Saccharomyces cerevisiae S288C: one gene and its partners. The gene in region 1 interacts genetically with each later gene. Each region holds a gene or a part of one and is shown in the gene's direction. Other genes may lie near its edges. The genes, in order: CDC42, DAN1, BUD6 and PCL2.

Region 1 (2,999 bases):
GGGCAATATTTCGATATTGGCCGAATCACCTCATTTGCCCACCAATTCCCCGACATATTGGTTGGATGGGATTTAGCACACGCTGTAGGGAACGTCCCATTGCAACTTCATGATTGGGGTGTTGACTTTGCCTGTTGGTGTTCTTACAAGTACTTGAATGCCGGGCCTGGTGGAATTGGTGGCTTATTTGTCCACTCGAAGCATACTAAACCAGACCCTGCTAAGGAAAGTTTGCCAAGATTAGCTGGTTGGTGGGGCAATGATCCTGCTAAGCGATTTCAAATGCTGGAAGTATTCGAGCCGATTCCAGGAGCATTGGGATTCAGGCAATCTAATCCAAGCGTTATTGACACAGTGGCATTGAGAAGTTCATTGGAATTATTTGCGAAGTTTAATGGTATTAATGAAGTTCGTAAAAGATCGTTGTTGCTGACGAACTATATGACGGAACTGTTGGAAGCCTCCAAGTATTACAAACACCCTTTAAGGATCGAGAAATTACCATGTTTTTTTACAATATTAACTCCAACAAGCACAGATGAAGAACATGGCGCCCAATTGTCACTTTACTTCGATTCTGACACTGGAAAAGAGGATATTATGCCCAAAGTTTTCCAATATTTGCATGACCATGGTGTCATTGGCGATGCAAGAAGACCAAACGTAATTAGATTGGCTCCTGCTCCCTTATATAATACATTTTCAGATGTATACATTGCGGTGAATGCACTAAATGAGGCGATGGATAAGTTGTAGTCCTAGAGTGACCGCATCGCCTTCATCTTCTTTTGGATATTATATATGACGTAGTTTGAAATTCGTATACTTACTGATAGCGAACCTATAAATTTATACTTTCTTTCCAAGAATTAAAATAAATATCTGGGCCCGTGTATTACTTACCAGTTGCCGTGCATAGTCGTGAATCTTCTTTCATTTATCAACCTTCTTCCAATAATGAAGCTAACTTATCAGTGGTAGTACTGTTGAACGAAACAAGCCGGAACTCAAAAGGGTAATTTCGTGAAAAACAATCATCTACGGTATAAATAACAATTTAATTTACGTCTCTTTCGAAAATGCTCGTGTAGCTCAGTGGTTAGAGCTTCGTGCTTATAGCAACATTCGGTTTCCGAAGTTTCTGTGCCAAAGACCTTTCAAACAGGCCTTTAAAAGCAACGCGACCGTCGTGGGTTCAATCCCCACCTCGAGCACTTTCTCTTTTTTTTTTAAAAAAAGTTGCATTATTTCTATCAACTGTTGTAGCTACGTTACACCTAATTTTGTATTGTAGACTGTTAGATAATCCACATATACAGGTAAATACGGCACATTGTCTTCTAAACATCGCATTAAAGATGTCTTCCACCGTCGATTCAAGGGTCATTCAATACGGGTAATACTGCTTCCATTGGGCCCTTCCAAATGAAACAAGATACGGGAAAAAGTGATAAAAAAAAGCAAACAAGGTTGATTGATCGATGATAGACGCGATTCTTGGAAAAGGCAAGAGCAGCGTTTTGATAAATAGGTTCCAGGTGTACCGAGATATACTGATTATCCTTCTCTGTCATTCTTCACTTTTTGCAATAGGTTTCCTTTGTCGCAAAAAATTATATTCGTTATTTATTATACTATTCTATTTTCCTGAGGAGATAGGTTAACAAACGAATTAGAGAAGCAAAACTTATAAAACAAGAAATAAACGTATTAGCTCTTCCACAAAATGCAAACGCTAAAGTGTGTTGTTGTCGGTGATGGTGCTGTTGGGAAAACGTGCCTTCTAATCTCCTATACAACGAATCAATTTCCAGCCGACTATGTTCCAACAGTGTTCGATAACTATGCGGTGACTGTGATGATTGGTGATGAACCATATACGTTAGGTTTGTTTGATACGGCCGGTCAAGAAGATTACGATCGATTGAGACCCTTGTCATATCCTTCTACTGATGTATTTTTGGTTTGTTTCAGTGTTATTTCCCCACCCTCTTTTGAAAACGTTAAAGAAAAATGGTTCCCTGAAGTACATCACCATTGTCCAGGTGTACCATGCCTGGTCGTCGGTACGCAGATTGATCTAAGGGATGACAAGGTAATCATCGAGAAGTTGCAAAGACAAAGATTACGTCCGATTACATCAGAACAAGGTTCCAGGTTAGCAAGAGAACTGAAAGCAGTAAAATATGTCGAGTGTTCGGCACTAACACAACGCGGTTTGAAGAATGTATTCGATGAAGCTATCGTGGCCGCCTTGGAGCCTCCTGTTATCAAGAAAAGTAAAAAATGTGCAATTTTGTAGTCATATTAGTATATGCCCATCTTTTCTTAATCTATATCTAAAATTAACTTATATATACACCTTCCTATCCTTTTATTATCGTTGTATTTCATTTTTTCGCTTTGCTCAGAGTTGATTCTCTTTGTTTCTTGCGCCAGGATCATCCGTCTGTTCAAGGCGGAGTAGTGCAAAAAAGTCGAGCCGTCAAGCCCCAAACGTTCAATACTTCCATGTTCTTCAACGCTAAACGCGACATTTGCGAGTCCTACCACGTCTTCTCCGTTTACGGGCAAAAACACCTCTTAACATCAAAAATTTGGCTTTCGTGCTTTTTTCTGAAATATATTCGTTGCATAGACACGGTATGCATATGAAACATTCAGGCTAGCAATCAATACTTAAACCCTTTACGGGCGTGCATGATGTATCAGGAAACCAGTTTGAGAATGTCGCCCACCAAGCTCCATGGAAAGGCGCAAACCAATTACGCGGAACACAAAAATGGGCCTTTTTTTGATCGCCTCAAAGGCCGGACCAGGTTCGTTAAACGTCTGTAGAGGTGCCGAACAATTTTTGTCTAGAATAAATTTCCATTTTTCTGGCATTTAATTCTAGGCTTTCTGGTCTCTTTGTTCTTGCAGCTAGCCCATTGGGTGCTCTTCAAAATATGTCAATATCACCTTGATTTTGAAAATGCGCCCGTAAAATTGGACTTATG
Region 2 (3,748 bases), on another chromosome or scaffold:
AGTTATGTAAGATAGAACTACGCGGCACAAAGATGGAATTGAGAAATAACGCTCCATAAAGTTGACGCTGCTAAATTCTAGGTCACAAGGCATTAGAAATGAGGGCCTTTGAAAAAATTTATTCAAGTAAACTGCTTTCTGAAGAGTTCGCTCTCATCGACATTGGTAGAAGAATAGTGTAGTGTAGTAGCAACCGTTAGTAGTTTATTAATGTCTAAAATTCAGTATAACTAAGAATAGAAGCAAGTATTCTTATACGGTATAGCAGAAACGTATAACTGATGCGGCGATGACGAATGTATTCAAAATGATGGTATTTCAGTGATTTGCTATATTTCCAATGTAATAACTCGCATCCCTACGTATATTAAATTTGAATTAACATTGAATTAATAGATCTTTAACGTAACTTCTTCCGCTAGTTTCGCAGTAGTATCTTGTTTCCTAGCCTGGAGCTATGAAGTATACTGTTTGGTCACTTTATTCAGTTACTATGGTTACTAAAATTATAAACCACCCGTTCCGACAACGACAATGAAGATCTATTTTGCAAATTTGGAACAGAAATAACCATAACCATGAGGTTCGTTATCGTTGACTACATATTACAATCCGAAATGAACATTCGGCCTAGAATGCATTGTACCTTTACAATACTTTGTAAAACATCTTTCAATGTGTATTTTCCTAGCTTAGGTAACACAACTAGGTAACTTATTGGGATGGTTGAGTCTTAAGTGCAGGCCATTTATTATCAATACTGAATCTTGTATGTTTTTGTCAACTCTTGACAGAAAGCTTCAGTCAGCGAAGCAAACTTTCGACCTTCTGTATCATATTTTTCTGCTCTATTTATAGCGAAAGAGAGAAGCCTACAAGAGGATAAGTACTAATCTTGTGATTATTGATTTTCTCCAAAGATTGGGAAAATTACTTAGTTGCACAGCGGAAATGTTTCGATCTCTGACTTTGTAATCGTCAAAATATTCTAGCAGAGCGCAACTTATTTAATTCATACTGTGCGTTCTCCTTGTGGTTTCTAAGACAATCTTTGAGCATGTTTATGGATGCACTTAGGGGTCCTACAAGCCTTCGTATGAAGTTGCCCCTCGCAAGCACACTATAAATTCATGAACAATTGCGCAGTCAAAGTTAGATTGTAAGCCGAATTCAAACGATTTCAACAGTCGTAGCTAACGAGGCCTTTTGTCTCACACCCTTACAAAGGGACTGTAGAATGCAAGGGCAAACAGGCCTGAGGTAACTTTAAAATATAATGTACCTTGAAAACTATGTATACATTGCATTTATTAAGCAGTAGGGTATTTTGTTTGCAAGAAAATAAAGCTCAAAATATCTTTGGAGTTTGACAATAGTATAGAAAAAATAGCTCAGCAACCTTAATAAAAAAAGGGTCATTGGGCAAAGCGTTTTAAAAAGATTTAAGTGGTAGTGTTTAAAGTGAAAGAGATTGATATAGTTAAAAATTGTTGAGCTCAATTCACGCTGGATTCGGCGATCCGTTTTCTTCAATCCTCACGTGCTTTCTTCGTTTGAGTGCAAAAGTTCATATGATGCTATCTCCCGCTTATCTTATTAGTCGAAAATGGGGAGAATTTCCTATTTTATCTGTCGTTTAGCACATATGGCCAGGAAAATACATAAGGTTTCGCCGAACGACGGGGTCAATTCGTCCTTTTTGTACACATCGTTTAATTTATGAGGAAAAATTGATGAATGTATCCTCCGTAGACGCTCCTCTGAAAAGTTTCATGTTTCCTGCGCGTTCCTTTGATAGGCAATAAAACAATACAACGCGTGCCTTTGAAAATGCCAAGATCTATACGAGGCCTCTAACAAAACATCGTTCAGGAACAGAGAATGCTAGAAATGCAAAAGGGTCCCTGGGTACTCATTGAATAGAAATGATTGAAAATACTGCGTATAAAATAGCACGACTAAATGATACTATTTTTATGTCGACACGGTACTATTTCTTCTTTTTCAGATAAAAGTGTAGCATACTAAATATATACCCCAAGTAATGTCTAGAATTAGTATATTAGCTGTCGCCGCAGCATTAGTGGCAAGTGCAACCGCCGCATCCGTGACCACCACTCTATCCCCTTATGATGAAAGGGTCAATTTGATTGAATTGGCTGTTTACGTTTCTGATATTGGCGCCCATTTATCTGAATATTACGCTTTCCAGGCTTTGCATAAGACTGAAACATACCCACCTGAAATTGCCAAGGCTGTTTTTGCCGGTGGCGATTTCACCACCATGTTGACTGGTATTTCAGGTGATGAAGTGACCAGAATGATCACCGGTGTGCCATGGTACTCTACTAGATTGATGGGTGCTATTTCCGAAGCACTTGCGAATGAAGGTATTGCTACTGCAGTACCAGCTTCTACCACAGAGGCTTCTTCCACCTCCACTTCAGAAGCTTCTAGTGCCGCCACTGAGTCTTCTAGCTCCTCTGAAAGTTCAGCAGAGACCAGCTCAAACGCTGCTTCCACCCAAGCTACTGTTTCATCTGAATCTAGCTCTGCTGCAAGCACCATTGCAAGTTCTGCTGAAAGTTCTGTTGCAAGCTCTGTTGCAAGCTCTGTTGCAAGCTCTGCTAGTTTTGCCAATACCACAGCTCCAGTTTCTTCTACATCTTCTATCTCAGTCACTCCAGTGGTCCAAAATGGTACTGACAGCACCGTCACAAAGACTCAAGCTTCCACTGTTGAAACTACCATAACTAGTTGTTCAAATAACGTCTGTTCAACTGTGACTAAGCCAGTCTCCTCCAAAGCTCAATCTACAGCTACTTCTGTCACATCGTCAGCATCTCGTGTTATTGACGTTACCACTAACGGTGCTAACAAGTTCAATAACGGTGTTTTCGGTGCCGCTGCTATTGCTGGTGCCGCCGCTCTATTGTTATAGTGATCATGTGCGGCCCTGTACAGTTGTATAAATGATGTAAAATAATTGAATTCTCTTAATTTTAATATTTATAAGATATATACTATAAGCGTAAGGAAATTCCAAAGAAATTTGTTTTTTAGTTTGCAGTCTTGTGCTCCAACTATTTCCGGTCCTTTTCGAATTTCATGTCAGGAGCATTCCTTATTGCAGACAGCTTAACAGAAAAAAAACTGTGAAAAAAATAAATACCTTTAGATATTAAAGCCCTAAATTGATATCAAATTTTTTCCATATTTGGATTTTGTATTCCTTAAAGCCCACATCCTGTGAACGGTTACGCTCAAATAATGGCCAAGTAACCTACGATCCAATAGCGACGTATATATATCATATAGAAAAAGGTCATCCAGAAAATTTGTGTCAATAAGTATCAGGTCTTTTATATGTATTTATATTATTTTCCGTCAATTTTCAATCTTGCGCCCATAGTTTCAATTTTCTTGTCTGTTGTGATTCCTGATTGGACATTCTGAAATCCTTGTCCAGCTAAAATAAAGTTAGCCAATTCTGGATACTTTTTTCTTACTTGCTTGAAAGCACTATACATGTAGCCATATGGAGGAAGCTCCTCACCTTGAAAATTAGCAATGACTTTTTCGATAAAAGGAGTAGAGATGGTCCTTGCAGGCTTTCCTGATATTATATTAACCATTTTAGTTGTTGTTTCTCGAGTGAAGGGGCTTGAAAAGTTTTTTGATGCATTGGATTCACTGCAACCAAGAAAAGCAGTCCCCACTTGAACAGCGTCTGCTTGCTGTGATAACA
Region 3 (5,141 bases), 170 kb from region 1:
AATGATGTAGCTATATCTGCAGGATTCAATTTTGATAGCAAGAAACTCTTGTCTGACAACTGGATCTTGAAGAAATTAGGTGGCTCAAAAGGTTTTTTTAGTAAAATTGAGTCAAGTACGACCATTATTGGTCCAAGCTCTTGATTGGAGTCTTCTTCCTCAAATTCCATGTCATGATTAATGCTGTCCCTATTACGTACATTTGGCTTTGTGAAAGCGTATCGGTTCGTGGGAACCTCTACAACAGTATTGAAAACTGGTTTTCGTCTCGATTCAAGATCAGCGGAGAAACTTGAGTATATAGGTGCTTTCTTCTTCCTTCTTTTTTTCTGTGGCTTGAGAGAAGAGCTGTCATCCTGTTCTAGGGATTGAGATTCTAATTCTTCAAAAAAATAATCATCAATTACATGATTCTTCTTAGAAACAAATGAAACTGGATTATTAGCTGCCAAATGAGATTTATGCGCTGACCGTTTTCCGACTTTGATAGCTTTTGTACTTGGGGCCAGACAAGAATTTCGATATTTGTACTTATATCTTCTCACTCTCTTACTTTTTGTATTCAAAAAGTTGGCATCATTGGTTGCTTTAATTCTTTTAGGTTTAACCAACATCTTGTCAATTATACCATCGTTATGCTCTTCAGCAGCATCTAGGGAAATTACACTTTGATTATCTTCGGCAGATATATTGTATTGCTCACTAAATCCGCTATCTGAATGCCGTGAATTCAAATAAATAATAGGCTGGTCTTTATAAGACACATGTGATATGCAGCTCCCCGGTCCGTCATATTCCAGCTCATACACTGGTTCATTGCGGTATTCCTCATTTAAATTAAAACCAGAAGTTCCAGCCGATTGTGCGTCTTCACTATACTTGCTCTCATAATATTCTTGCAATTCCTTTAATTCCTTTTCGTTAGCCTCACGATCCTCTGGAAGATTTCCTAAGTATATATCTGGAGGGGCGTTTTCCTCGATATCCAGTTCGTCATCAGGTGCAATAAGATCGTTCAATAAGTTCTGTTCTTCATCTTCAATATGGGCGCTTCTGTTCATTTTCCTCTTAGCCACACCCTTATGGTTCAATAATTGAGTTTTTCTTTTCGTGACTTTTGAAGACTGCTGCTTTTGCAACGACTTTTCCCAAGCAACTCTTGGCAGGACCCCACGGTAACCAGTTCTTACATTCAATACTCTTCCTCTAAATATTACTTCGTCATTTTGAGTATTCTGTAAATTTGTACTAGCCAAGTCTTGTTCATCTTCCGTAGAATCACCTGATTGAAATACTATATCCTGGTCGAGGTCTTTAAAAGTACGATGCCTTTTCTTTGGTATTTCTTCATCACTATCATATCTTTGAGATTGAACCGAGCTGTTTTCGGGTTTAATGGAGTCGATTGTAACATCTTTCTGCTCATCTAAGGGTTTACCAGTTCTCTTTGTAAGTAAAATATCATTTGAGTGAATCACTGTAGAAGCGTTCTTCGGTAAGGTCAACTGATTCGAAATGCTGTCAAAACTAGAGATATCATAGCCCTCTAGCAACTGCCTATGCTTTATGCGTTCTAAACTGTATGGCATCTTTTGAATAGCCTTCCTCTTCCTCAAAGACCACCGAAGCCCCGTAGTAACTTGTGTATCAGTTACTACGGAAGGAGTACAAGATTCTCCAGCAGTGGAATCCAGGCTCAACCTCTCAGTGACAATTTTCTGTGATCTGCTTGCTTCTTGGACGTTTTCCTCTGCCCATAAATAATTTTCATTGAATTCGGGTTCGTATATGATACTAATTTCCTCATCAGTGGCCTCAGAATCTGATATCACAATAGGATTCGGTTCATCAACATCCATAAGCTTATCTGCTGACGCTACCACTAAACTTCAAATCTACAATCCTATCTTTTATTCTTTCACTTCTTGAATTTAATTTTACACGCAGATGCGCTTTACTCTTTGAAGATATCTCGCTAGCCGAGCTGAACGAATTTTATCCTACTATTATGCATTCTTGAGATAATGGCATCAAAACAAACCCAAGAAAAGGGAAAAAGAGTAGAAGCTGGCTGCCAAATTGGTGTAGTAATCCTCGTATTATTTTAAAATTAGATGAAGATGGCCGTGGATGACCCTACGTATGGCACCCCAAAGATTAAAAGAACTGCTTCTAGCAGTAGTAGTATTGAAACGACAGTAACAAAGTTGCTGATGTCCACCAAGCACCTCCTCCAGGTCTTAACACAATGGTCTAAGGGGACAACCTCTGGAAGATTAGTATCTGATGCATACGTTCAGTTGGGCAATGACTTCAAAGTCGTATCGAAATTCTTCATGCATGCGAAAGTTGACATGTCAGATGTTGGTGATGTGCCAATGGCTTTAAGACGTGTATTGGAAGTGACATTGAGGGAACCACCATCTGATGAAACTTTAAATAAACATCTGCCAAAAATCAGAGAGATTATAGTGACACTTTTAGACAAACTAAAGGTTAAACAAGCAATTTTGAAGAATATGCAGCAAGAGCATCGGATAAGTGTAAAATCACATCATCAACAAAACCCTTCCTTTACTAGTAACCTTTCATTGGGTAGTGAAGGGACCCGTGAGGGGACTCCATTAAGTAGCAGAAAAAGCAGTATTGTACGTGATCAGAGGCAAAGCGATTCAGTCGAAAACAGCTATGGGGAAAAAGTGAATTCTACTTCTACGGGAACACCCTCTGCTCAGTCAGCAGAGGCAACATTGACAAAACCAAGAACTAATATTAAACAAAACCTTAAATCTAACAATGCTCCAAACGCATCTGATGATGATGATGCACTTTCACAATTGAAGAAGGGAACTAATTTACAAAGGAGAGCCTCAAAGAGATACTCTGCCTACCATATGGCTAAATTGACAAATCAGTCTACAACAGAAGCTGCTGCGGCTGCCGGCCTCATGACAACTCCTTCACCCTCGATGTTGCATCTAGAGGAAACCGTAAGAAAGTCAAAGTTATACGGAAATAACAACAATGATGATGATAGAAACATTAATTCAGCTGAAAATAAGGGTAAAAGCATTGACGATGTATCAAAGGCGAGTCCATTGGCGAAAACGCCATTGCCTATTGAGAATGTTCGTGCATCTCCACGAAGATTATCAAGCGTTGTTACAACTTCGCCAGATAAAGCCATGAATGGAACTTGTCCAGTATTTTTAAGGATAGGAGACAAAACAAAGAAGTGTCATGTGCAACTGCCTACTACAAAAAACGCATTAAGGCTCCTATTTATTGAGCGCTTTGCGTATTCTCCTGGAGCAAATTCCTTCCCAGACATATATATTATGGATCCTCAATATGGAGTATTCTATGAATTAGAGGAACTAAATCTTCTCGATATTAAAGAAGGGTTTGTTATCGAGCTAAAGCTCGAAGAGAATCCAAATAATACGATCAAGGAATTCATTGACACAGTTAAGATGGAGATATCGAATAGTCAGAATGATATAATAAGACATTTAAAAGAAATGAGTTTTGGTTCTGCAATTAGCGGCAAGCAAACGGAAGTTTTACCACAACCTGGCCTTGAAGCTAACAAACACGATCTTGTGGGGCAAAACAAAAAAGATGATGATAAAACGATCAAAGATATTCAGTACGAATTGGGGAAAATAAAACAAGTGCATAATATTAATAGGTCAAATATTAATGAGACTATTTTCAACATTTTACGAAAGGTCGATAACTTTAAGTCTTTATCATTTTCTGCCAAAAACTCTTCCAACAGAATGTACATGGAAAAATCACAGACCGAACTCGGTGATTTATCCGATACTCTGCTAAGTAAAGTAGATGATTTGCAAGATGTAATCGAAATTATGAGGAAAGACGTTGCTGAGCGTAGGTCTCAGCCCGCTAAAAAGAAGCTAGAAACCGTATCCAAGGATTTAGAAAATGCCCAAGCAGATGTACTTAAACTACAGGAGTTTATTGATACTGAAAAACCACATTGGAAAAAAACTTGGGAAGCTGAGCTCGATAAGGTCTGTGAAGAACAACAGTTTCTCACGTTGCAGGAAGAGTTGATTTTAGATTTGAAGGAAGACTTGGGTAAGGCATTAGAAACTTTCGATCTTATTAAGTTATGTTGTGAAGAACAAGAAAAAAACCCTTCGAGATCAAAAAGTAATCCTATTTTGCCTATTATGAGACCGGGCACATTTAATCAGGTAAGGGAGCAAGTTATGGTGGCCGTCCAATCTTTAAACCCTGACCACGATAGTAGGGTCGAAGCTATTGACAAGGCTGAGAAGATGTGGGAGATGGAAAGAAAACTTAAAGCTAGTAATGAATTTGATGATGAACTGGAAAATTTTGTGGGTAATTCAAACCTGAAAAAATCGGGAGGCTTTGAAGAAGTAGAAAGGATAAGAAAGCAGAAGGATGAAGCAAATTTGAGAGCATATTTTGGGCCGGGGTTTACTTAAATACACTAATTTTATGAAAGCTAACGGAAAAGAGATTAGTGCTTTTGGCTTATTACAAAGTTTGCGGCAATATTTTCCTTATCAGCATCATAAGCTGTCAGTATTTCATGTATTATTAGTACTAATTAACTATATGTATATATATATATATATATGCTTGCAAGTGTTGAATTTCCTTTCTCAAAAGAATGATATTATCTTTAAATTTTGATGTGTTTGAAGATAGGCTTTCCAAAAATCCATTCAATATGGTGAATCGTACCTCATACTCGATTAAAGGATCACATTTCGTAATTGGACAACCGCTGACTGTCATTTCAATGATGCGTTGTAAGAACGAATGAAATTGCATATTTTGCGTAACATTAATTGATAGATCCTTAAAAGCAGATTTATAACATTCCGAAATGTTCTTTACAACATGATCAATTTGCATGAGAACGGTGTTTGTTGAATTTAAATTTGTGTCAATTGTTTTATAAGAGATTCTAGTGTTAAACAGCGCTATTAAACTTCGAAATATCCCTTTACTAGATTTCGAACGGATATGGAAATTATTCATTGTGCTTGAATGTTTCCAAACTTCCAATTCTTTAACAAATATGTGCATTGCACAAAATTGAATAACCGTATCATCATCTGATTGGGAGCTTACGGCTA
Region 4 (3,557 bases), on another chromosome or scaffold:
CAGCTATCTTGGCTAATGCCACGGAAGAGTTGGCTGATAAGGCTGGTAACACCATTGGGGGACTGCTAAATGCTACTTTTGGTAACGCTGTGGAACTAATTGTTTCTATCATTGCCCTGAAAAAAGGTCAAGTGAGAATTGTGCAGGCCTCGATGCTAGGTAGTCTTCTTTCTAATTTGCTGTTAGTGCTTGGATTATGCTTCATATTCGGTGGATACAATAGAGTCCAACAGACATTCAACCAAACCGCCGCTCAAACAATGTCCTCATTACTTGCCATTGCGTGTGCATCCCTACTGATTCCCGCTGCCTTTAGAGCCACCCTACCTCATGGCAAGGAAGACCACTTCATCGATGGAAAAATATTGGAGTTATCCAGAGGCACCTCTATTGTTATTCTCATCGTTTACGTTTTGTTCTTATATTTCCAGCTAGGGAGCCATCACGCCTTGTTTGAGCAACAAGAAGAAGAGACCGATGAAGTTATGAGCACCATTTCCAGGAATCCACATCACTCTTTGAGTGTCAAGTCATCATTGGTGATACTTCTAGGTACAACTGTGATCATCTCTTTTTGTGCGGATTTTCTAGTCGGTACGATAGACAACGTTGTTGAATCTACCGGGCTATCTAAAACATTTATAGGTTTGATTGTCATTCCTATTGTGGGTAATGCCGCAGAGCATGTCACTTCAGTCTTGGTGGCCATGAAGGATAAGATGGATCTGGCGCTAGGTGTTGCCATCGGTTCCTCTTTACAAGTTGCCTTATTTGTTACACCATTCATGGTTCTTGTGGGCTGGATGATCGATGTTCCAATGACGCTAAATTTCTCCACTTTTGAAACCGCTACTCTTTTTATTGCTGTTTTCTTATCCAATTACTTAATTCTCGATGGTGAGTCAAACTGGTTGGAGGGTGTCATGTCTCTAGCTATGTATATTTTGATTGCAATGGCATTTTTCTATTATCCAGACGAAAAAACCCTTGACTCTATTGGAAATAGTTTATGAGTAAGAACAGTAGCGCAGAAATTCACCATTCTCTTTTTTTTTATATTTTATCTTCTTCGTAATTCTATCGATGGACCAATACAAAGATGATTATGACTAGCAAGTCATTATTATGATCGTTATATTATACATATTATGTTTACGCAACTAATTTTTATATCGAATTTTATCTGAAAAAAAGTTTTCAAAACCAACAAAATATTTTGTACACTCTTCGAAACTCAAATTCTGCACCATTTCCATTCTGATAAAAGGTTTAATATTTCGAAGCTTCTCAACTACAGCTCGTGTTCTTCTTGCAGCACATCAGCTGCTTTGCTGCACTGTTCAGGGTAACGTTATTCATTACAACGAGAATATTTAGGAATTTTGCTCAAATTCATGGAGCTTCCTACATCATTGCACAACAGAATTTCGTTTTGTAGTATAGTTTATTAGAAACAAATGTGAATAGATCATGAGACGCGAAGCCCTATTTTAGCGGATTTTAGCCTTACATTTCTGAGTGAGAATGCCAGCTGAAACACATTCTTGTTACATCTGTCACGGCATTCCAGCTGTAAAAAACCAGCAGATATCGCATAAAAAAATGGCCAGCTATAGAATAAAATTAGCCCAGCTATATTTTTATAGCGTCTTTTGATGACGCGAAAAGTAGACTTCGCGTAACACGAAAAATGCTGGTGCAGGTGGATTTTTTTGGCAGATACTACGGTCAATTCTCCGCTCGAAGATTTTTATAGGCCTGGCTAGTTACCTATTTAGTGCAAATTGGGAAGAGATCTATTGTTCCCGCAGACACGCTAAGTGGTAGCTGTAACTTCGGAGACGTGTGAGACCTTCCTCAAACATGTTACAGGTTGATCGATTTACACATCTAATGCAAGTTTAAGTGCTTCTTAAGTGTTTTTTTCTTTAGTCTTATAAGTTCTCCTTTCTTTCACTTTATAATTCTCCTTTATAAAAGTAAGACCCGGTGCTAAACAACCTGATCCGACAAGAGCAATTTCAATACGGCAGCAACTTTTTACTACAAAAGATGTCAAACTACGAAGCCTTGCTGAAATTCAATAGGAAGGCTGTATCTAAGGAAATGGTGCAATATCTAGCATCGACCACAGCTTCCATTATCAAAATTAAGAAGACGAATAGTATGATAGATATTGCATTGCCAGCACCACCGTTGACTAAATTCATCAACAGACTGATCAAGCATTCTAACGTTCAAACTCCGACTCTGATGGCTACCTCTGTATATTTGGCCAAATTAAGATCAATAATACCGAGTAACGTTTATGGTATAGAGACCACCAGGCATAGAATATTCTTAGGTTGCCTAATATTAGCTGCAAAAACGTTAAATGATTCCTCCCCTCTTAACAAACACTGGGCCGAATATACGGACGGCCTTCTCATCCTAAGGGAGGTTAATACTATTGAAAGGGAACTATTAGAATATTTTGATTGGGACGTCACCATTTCCACAGATGATTTAATTACATGTCTCTCGCCATTCTTGAAGCCTATCAAAGAGGAGCAGTTGTACAAATCGCAAAGAGACTGTCGCACGTTGAAAAATTTTTCTGCTCAAGAAAAAGACATAGTAAACAAAACATCCATTTCCCATTCGCGCTCATCGTCCAATATGTCTATCCCATCTTTAGCTTCCACTTCGACCCTCTCCACGTTGGAATCTAGAAGATCGAATTTATCCAATTATAGTAACAGAATACGAACTTTGCCCGAACTACACGAATCCAATAACATTAGCGACAAGTTTTCTCCGCGAACATACAACATAGACTCCAAACACGATAACAAGGAAAATAGGCCAATACCGACAATTAAGCCTTTTAATTTTAGTAAAGCGCGCCCTGTGATCTTGAAAACTGGGTTAAACAAACAGATAATAAAAGAAGATACAAAAGTAAAGAAATCGAATTGGTCAAATTACTTCAAATCGTGATTTTAAATGTCGAAATTATGCCTGGCCTGCGTTTCTTCATGGCACTTTCGGAAAAGGCGGAAGAACACAGGTAAATGTTCTTACGACCGAGGTCCTACAGCCTCCCTTTTTTCTTATTTTACATATTAATATACATAAATATACCATAATGCATTCTTTTTCTAATGATTTAGCTCTCCTTTTTTTGACAAATTTGAAAATAAATATAAAAAGGGCCATAAAATATTGAGTTAAAATTGACGATTTTTTTTATAGAAATGACTTGAATTTACGATTTAAAATAAAAATATACCTGGCATATAACTAACTATACAAATCATCATCTTCCTCCGCATTAGAACCAAATGCAGCACCTGCTCCACTTGGAGCACTATTATTACTGTTAGCATTGTCCGTAGCCGTAGTACCTAATGGAGCGTCATTAAAGTTGAAATTACTGAATTGACCTCTAGATGCTTTCATTTGCTGTGAGTATGCTTCATAACGACGCAATTCAGCATCTGAAACAGAACGTTTAGCGGTCTTCATAGCTTCTGCGAAATGCTCCTTTGTAATATATGGAACAGGATCTACTTCTG

Evidence for each region.
Region 2: mutations in CDC42 (region 1) and DAN1 together harm fitness more than expected from each alone (negative genetic interaction), as found in Saccharomyces cerevisiae (2 studies listed by BioGRID).
Region 3: mutations in CDC42 (region 1) and BUD6 are lethal when combined (synthetic lethality), as found in Saccharomyces cerevisiae (2 studies listed by BioGRID, with this or other methods).
Region 4: mutations in CDC42 (region 1) and PCL2 are lethal when combined (synthetic lethality), as found in Saccharomyces cerevisiae (2 studies listed by BioGRID, with this or other methods).

The regions. Positions count from the first base shown.
Region 1 is NC_001144.5:603,515-606,513, reverse strand, and holds CDC42 (Rho family GTPase CDC42), read left to right. Parts: upstream 1-1,726; coding exon 1,727-2,302; downstream 2,303-2,999. Other genes in the region: BNA5 (kynureninase), read left to right, coding at 1-756. UniProt on the Saccharomyces cerevisiae protein: Involved in development of cell polarity during the cell division cycle, and essential for bud emergence. Affects signaling in the pheromone-response pathway through the STE20 protein kinase.
Region 2 is NC_001142.9:708,004-711,751, reverse strand, and holds DAN1 (Dan1p), read left to right. Parts: upstream 1-2,044; coding exon 2,045-2,941; downstream 2,942-3,748. Other genes in the region: YJR149W (putative nitronate monooxygenase), read right to left, coding at 3,378-3,748. UniProt on the Saccharomyces cerevisiae protein: Component of the cell wall.
Region 3 is NC_001144.5:768,658-773,798, reverse strand, and holds BUD6 (formin-mediated actin nucleation enhancer), read left to right. Parts: upstream 1-2,114; coding exon 2,115-4,481; downstream 4,482-5,141. Other genes in the region: MMS22 (Mms22p), read right to left, coding at 1-1,859; EST2 (telomerase reverse transcriptase), read right to left, coding at 4,603-5,141.
Region 4 is NC_001136.10:232,875-236,431, forward strand, and holds PCL2 (cyclin PCL2), read left to right. Parts: upstream 1-2,052; coding exon 2,053-2,979; downstream 2,980-3,557. Other genes in the region: VCX1 (Vcx1p), read left to right, coding at 1-1,013; AAA family ATPase CDC48, read right to left, coding at 3,283-3,557. UniProt on the Saccharomyces cerevisiae protein: G1/S-specific cyclin partner of the cyclin-dependent kinase (CDK) PHO85. Essential for the control of the cell cycle at the G1/S (start) transition. Together with cyclin PCL1, positively controls degradation of sphingoid long chain base kinase LCB4.